Xenopus tropicalis: one gene and its partner. The protein of the gene in region 1 purifies or fractionates together with the protein of each later gene. This does not show direct contact. Links are inferred from orthologs where the notes say so. Each region holds a gene or a part of one and is shown on either strand. Other genes may lie near its edges.

The links.
Region 2: the proteins of dock1 (region 1) and elmo1 purify together in Homo sapiens (affinity purification with western blotting; 12 studies listed by BioGRID and IntAct, counting the BioPlex papers as one, with this or other methods). This does not show direct contact. The link is inferred for Xenopus tropicalis from reciprocal best matches to the Homo sapiens genes DOCK1 and ELMO1.

The regions. Positions count from the first base shown.
Region 1 is NC_030683.2:24,118,012-24,121,580, forward strand, and holds part of dock1 (dedicator of cytokinesis protein 1), read right to left. Parts: intron 3,207-3,569; coding exon 3,061-3,206; intron 1,023-3,060; coding exon 824-1,022; intron 1-823. UniProt on the Homo sapiens protein: Involved in cytoskeletal rearrangements required for phagocytosis of apoptotic cells and cell motility. Along with DOCK1, mediates CRK/CRKL regulation of epithelial and endothelial cell spreading and migration on type IV collagen.
Region 2 is NC_030682.2:63,753,081-63,756,649, reverse strand, and holds part of elmo1 (engulfment and cell motility protein 1), read right to left. Parts: intron 3,000-3,569; coding exon 2,955-2,999; intron 2,048-2,954; coding exon 1,997-2,047; intron 1,083-1,996; coding exon 960-1,082; intron 1-959. UniProt on the Homo sapiens protein: Involved in cytoskeletal rearrangements required for phagocytosis of apoptotic cells and cell motility. Acts in association with DOCK1 and CRK. Was initially proposed to be required in complex with DOCK1 to activate Rac Rho small GTPases.

The sequences.
Region 1 (3,569 bases):
AAAAGGAGAAAAGGCACAGGTTACATAGCAGATAACAGATAAGCTCTGTAGAATACAATAGTGTTTTATCTGTTATCTGCTATGTGCCTGTGCCTTTTCTCCTTTGAATGGCTGCCCCCATAGCTACACAGCAGCTTTGTTTATATAAACTATAGTAGTCTTTCTAAGGCAAACACACCAGCTGTACCAGTGCAGGGCAACAGTACATAATATCGTAATTAATTTTATACACTTTAATTTTTTGGTGTTACTGTTCCTTTAATAGAAACAGCCTGACATGAACTCTACTTTTTGCACTTTCTGGGACAAAAAACACATCTACGAGTAGCAGCATGGTCAGTTATGGATGCTTCTCAGCCATATTCTCAGTCATATTCACTGTACTGGGCATTCTATAGGAATTTTAAAAGGTGTAATTATGTCTACTCTTGATAAAAAATCCTTTACGAGTTAATTGAAAACTGCGACCCCTGGGGTTAACTCTTTTTTCACCCTTTGATACATATGTCCCTCGAACTCACTTTCTAGGAGAGATCAGCTAACACATCCCCCCTCTGCATAATGGAGAAAAAAAAATCTATACATCTTGTCAGAGGTCAAGCCTTACTAACTGAGGTTAATATCAGAATATCAGAATTTACTGGAAAGCCGAATCCTTGGTTAGAGACGCTTCACGGCCGAGGTGAAAGCACAGACAGTGAAACAGTGCTCGCACATAGATTTCCATTCATTTGCATTGCAGGAAAGCATCCCACCAATGAAATGATATACAGAAACATTCAGCGGCGTCTATGCACACCCACACGGCCCGAGATAGAATTACCGTTTCTGACAGAATAACGGCGTCAGACTGCTGCAGTGGAATTTCAGTAGCTTTAAATTCTTTATCAAACATCTCTTGGTGCTTGCTGTTCCTTTTCTCCTTCTTTTTCTCCTTCTTCTCCTTATCAAGATCATCTCGGTCCAATTTATCTTGGGAGCGAGAATGCATTTTCTTTGGCAAAAGTGGTTCCAGAACAAACCTGGAAGAAATGTAATATAACTGTGCACATCCATTCAGTACTGACACGTGAAATATTCTGTCTGCGGATTGAACTGGTTGGCTGCTGCGCTACTGGAACAGATGGGGGAATCTGTTACCATTTTGTTCTTTTTATCTCTGCCTGTAAAATATATACTTATAAATGGTGCTTTAACTAATGACTTACTATAACCCCTACTTAAAAATGTAACAATGGTAGAATTGACCTTGGAGCGCTAAGTCACCACTAATATCCTTATATTATATATTTATAAACGGTACATAGTGATGACATCAGTTATTATTGATATACTTAAATCACATGACTCACTGAAAATTGTGTATTATAATAAATACCCCTGTTTGAATATTAGAAGTCACCTTGGAGTTGTGACCTATAAATTAAAAATACAGGAAATCACAGAACTTTTTTGTGACATCTGATATCCTTATAATTTATAACGCCCTGTATAAAAGAACTTGCCCTTCACCTTCTGCCTTTATATAGTCATGACATTCCTCAGTGACCTATAAAATCCTTATCCTATAAAACAAGGGTATATAATTTCTCTATAATATACAAGAGCCACAAATATCATGCATGCCATTTGCCTATAGACAGTTCTTAGTAATATCATCAGGTATGATCACGTTTAGTGATGTCACTTGTGTCACATGATTCATTTAAAGTTGTATATTATAAAGATAATGTACACCCTTTTGTAAAATATGAGATATAGAAGAAGTCACCTTGAAGTTCCATCTAATAAAGCCCTAAAGTTTACAGAAGTTTCTGGTGACTAATATCCTTATAATTTACAACAAAGAGTACATTATTTGCTGCATATTTAAACAGGGCTCTATTCCATACACACACATGTAATCTTTACAGTTAACCCAATGCATGAACTGTGCTCTGAACACAAACACTGAGTTCCTACAATGACACAACTGACATATTATGTTTAATTGTTGCCCATCAATTGAACTTCGTTAAGCTAAAGAATGTCTATGTACATGACCAACCATCCTATCACATTAGGAGAATGGCTTCATCTTTAAATGAACAAGGTTTTTTGGTTTCTATCCTGTATCCAAGGGCTCAGTGTAGCAGAGGCAAACACAAATCCGCAGCCGTGCCACTGCCAGTTGGTTCTGTGCCACTGTTGATCCGTAAAACCCTGTCTGCTGATTTCATCCAAACTGACTCGCACCGGGAGACATGCCAAACATGCAAATAGCAGCAGCCAGACTAAACAGTGTAAATGTGATACAACATCCGCTTTTTAACCTTAATCAACAACTTTATCATGGCTGGATCAGAACAGGCTTCATATGCATTTTGCCCGCAGAACTGTGACAAGCAGCTGGGCTAAATATTTTGAGCTTCTTAAAGCACCCAGAGGTGTCCCCAGGGCACATATTGTTTTAGAAATGGCAACGTTTGTGTTCCCTTGCAGTCTTTAGGCTCCTTTTTCTTTTGAGAGCAGCTGAAATGCAATTTTTTTAGGAACGCTTTCCGTGAGTGTATCGAGTAACTTAATAAAGGCAGACACAAACCGGCCTGGAGATCAGGAGAAAGGCAACAGTGACATGCTGAAGACGTGGGCTGTAATTTGTGAGCTGCTGAAGTATTGTGAGTAACCAATAAGCCTTAAAAGCACACAGATGCATTGCAATTTGCTTTTCTACTCAAAGTGGAAATTAAAAGTTTATTTCTGCGAGGAGGGGAAAAGATTCCAAAAATGAAATTTATTATTTTGAAAGGGGCACAAATGTGTAGGGCACAAACTTTTGCAGGGAAAGAGGGGGGGACACAATGCCAGAAAACATACTTACTGTGATTTATTGCTGTTTTATGGTGCAAAGCTTGCCACCTTGCCAAAGCTCCTAAATGCACACAACGGGACAGCAATGCATACACAGAATTGTATGCAATATTTCTCCATATAGACTTCACCAAATGTTACCACCAGTTTGTCACAAACTGCAGGTTTACAAATGTTCTCATAAATACAAATGGATGTAAAACAACTTACCCATCTGAGCCAGGTCTTGATGGGGTACTGTCTGAAGACACTGAAGACACGGAGGCAACAGACAAAGGTCTCGATGACGACGGCATGGTAAATGAACGGACCATAGATCTTGGCCGATTCCCCCGCCTCTCGTCAGGGTTTGAAGACTAAAGTGAAGAAAATAGGGATTATTTTTTTACTTTCATATTCATTTTCAGGTTGACACTCCACTAGTATTCTGAATTATTTGACTGTTTTATGGGAAAGGGAAAGAGATGGTATCAGACAAAGTCACGGGAGTCAGACACTACAGACTTAGTTGCAGTAGCAAGTTGAGGTGGAGAAACTAACACCCATTCAACCCATGGTGTTTTACTGCAGAAAACTGAGGTGCAGATGGTACTTTGAAAGTTGAAAATATACAGTTTGTGCGATCATAACAGCATTTCTCCATTTACTTAATTAAAGAAAAAAAAAATCAAATGGAATTAAGGGAATGCTCAGTACATCTCTGAGAGCTTAGTTTTATG
Region 2 (3,569 bases), on another chromosome or scaffold:
TTTACATGTTCAAGTCTCTTTTGAATTTCCTCCCGAGTGATTTCCCTACATGCATTTCTACATAAGTGCAGGTTTATATTTGATTTGTGAATCCAGCTAGACATTCCAACTTTGATGAACTGTGATACAAGGGACTGTGCAGTTTGATTAATTTAATAAACATTTAACATCAGTTGGCAAAGGGCCCTGTATAGGCCTGAAACATTGCCAGGCTTCTAAAAATCCCACAGGAATAAATAGAAAATGGGTAAGGTTTTATTAATTAAGCTATCAACTCACATTTTGATAAATCTGCCCCTAATTGTTCTTATTCAAAACAAACTTATTATTAAGGTAATATACACCTTTTACTATTATGGATTGATCACATTTGATTGCTCCACAAATAGTACCAGTAAATAAACCAATTGCACTGTCAACAATTCAACATCACCTTGCACCTTCAAAAGTGCATTTTTGCTTTCTTTGTATTTTTTCTTTTCCCAAATCGTACTTTTTAGTACCAAAGATTGTGCATGTACTAATTACTTCAAAACAAATGTTTCATAATTTTTCAAGCGTCAATACAACAAAACAAACTAATACAAAATTACGCCATCTAAAAGCTGTTGAGTCATAAATAAATCAATAGGAGCTGTCCTAGGCAAACTGTAACAATGCTTATCCAATTTGTGGTTTTAGTGGTTCTTTCTGTTTGTAAGCGCACAAAAATTTGGATGCTTTTTTACTGTTTTTATATTTTAATATTTGGATTTTTAAATAAATGAGTAGACAGTTGTGCTATTTTAAAAAGTGAGCTTAGTCGTTGTAGAAAATAGGCTTTAAAATTACATAAATTGGAATTTTGATAAATCTGCCCTGTAACATTTATTTACAAATATTAAAAAACTATGGGGAATTTTACACAAAGATTATTTGTTTAGTAGTGTTAACAGAAGCATATAATCTATATGGCTCACCTGATCTTGGGGATCCATCTTGGTCATCATACGGTCTTCCAGCAAGTTGAAAGTCAGTACTTGCCACACGTACAGCTGATGTGCCATCTCATTATTAATGGGACCATGTGCTCTGATAACATGCTGCAAGAGAAAGACACTCTTTTATAAAACAAAAAACTGATAGATCAGAAAACCTGGCCCTGGTCATTTGAGCTTTTACATTTTTTGGCCTCTATTGGCTGGACATAGAGGTGCTGCTGCCAGGAAGTGAGTTGAGACAAGTTACCAGGGGACGCAAAAAGCCACTTCTGGTAAAATAAGGACAAGGTCAGACGAAGAGTATCTCCGCTTCTCTCAGCCCTGTGCTTTTCTGCCTGGCTGAGAGAAGCCGATTCGCTTCTGTACGCCACTCTGTGTGCCTTCACTAAAAGCTATGGCAACAGCCCAAATGTGCGTACACAGAGCATAGCCTGACTCCTTCCTATACAGAAGGAAGGCTAGGATTGATCAATCGATCGTCTCATAGTGGATTTTGCCCTGCATTGCCGTATCACCTTATTTCAAATGACCGGAAGCCAAGTTTTAGCAGGTATTTTCTAATAAAGCATTCAAAACAATAAATGGTGGCAGGATAGGGCAATTATTGGGGCAGGGTAGAATAGATTTTTTACTTAAAAAATGTTAGTGTTACTTTTCCTTTAAGCGGCTGTGTAGCCATGGGGACAGCCATTAAACTTGAAAATGGATAAAAAGGTGCATGTTTACATACCATCTGAGATGAACTATGTAGAATACAATAGGTTTAGTTCTTGCAAGAAAAATAAACAGGGGTCAAAAGTAATTTATGGCTTTCTACAGGACTAGAGAATGGAATAGGGGATTTGCTGCTAAAAAGGTTAATTGTAGGCTCGATCAACAGCTACAAAATTTAATTAAAAATACTTTTTACTTTTTGACATTTAAGGTCATTTAAGTCTTGTATACAAAATAAAAACAGGTCCCATTTATTTACCATTTAATTTTTATATAACTAAAGATACAATATTAATACATACCGTTAGGATGATAGACCTGAGCTGCTTTTGGGCTAATATGTTAGCCATTTCCTATTAGACAAAATAAGGAAACATTATTATTCAAGAAATAAATTACATCTTTTAATATAAAGTGGAGTTCATGCACATTAAATTGTTGCTTAAGAAAAAAAAAGCAACAAAAAAGAAAGCCAAAATGCTCTATTTTGCCACTTACAATTTTACTGCAACTGTTACACTGTAACTTTAACTCCACAATGTTTCTAAACAATTTTGGAAATTAATATTTGAAAATAAATAAAGATGTCACCTAAATGGCATTGGCCAGAAGTAGCCTCTTTCTTTCAAATGATCAGAATTATGTAGATTATTTAATCTTCCCTGTTCTTTTTTCAGAATAGGACTGCCTACTGTATTGGTTTGTTTATATGTCAGTTATTATGTACCTTTATGTACAACGCTGCTGAATACAAACAGGTGGTTATTCTATCTATAAAGTAAATGCAATTAAAGGAGTAGTTCACCTTTAAAATTAACTTACAGTATGATGCAGTTACTAATTTTGACAATTTTGAAATGGTTTACATTTTTTATTTTGTTGTGGTTTTTCAGTTTTTTGTTCAGTAGCTCATGAGTTTGATATGTCAATCGCTATCTAGTTGCTAGGATAAATAAGAGCCTATAAGGAAGTGGTTTGAATGAGGGACTGGAATATGAATAGGTGAGGGACTAAATAGAAAGTCATAATAAAATATTATGCACAGTGCACTGTGGTTCTCAACACCAGTCCTCTTTAACAAGTATTGACAATTCCCTATGACGTTATTCCAAAAAAGTGTACCGTTTGAGAAATTCTTGCATTGAGAATTGCTGTATCATGCAAATTGCAATCATAACACAAAAACCAAGATACACTACAGCACGTGTACAGAGTGGGCACTACAAATCAGCTAAACAAACACTAACATGAAAAACTTACACTCAGAGGAAAATCAAGGATGTCAATATTGTTCGCTATGTAACGCTAAGATTTAAGGACAGAATTAAGGACAGACAGATAAGATAAGGATTGGAAATATTTACTGTATACAATGGCATAACGGAGAGTTGGTGGGAAGTGGAGATTTATATGCAGCAATGGAGGAAGCAAGCAGCAGGGTCCGCACCCTTGATTGTTATGCCACTGACTGTATATAACACATTTTTTTCCTCAAAGACCATTAGTTATTACACACTATTTGTAGAATCACTGTAGGAAATTGCATACATAGAGATTTTTTTGGAGGATATTTAAATGACTGAATTCTGCAACTATATAATTTTCTTTAAAAGGACAACTATTTATCTATTTTGATAAAAATTTTGAAGAAAAAAAATCTAGTTTTTAAAAATGATTTTGGTCTGTAATAATAAAACAGCGCTTTGTACTTTATCCCATCTAAGAAATAATTAATTCTTATTGGAGGCAAATTAATGTTTAAAAGATTCCTTATCCAGAAAACCCCAGGTCCAAGCATTATGTATATAAGTTACCATACCAGTATAGCTTCCCGTTCTGCTATTTTCTATATTGTAGCATTTCTACTAACAATTT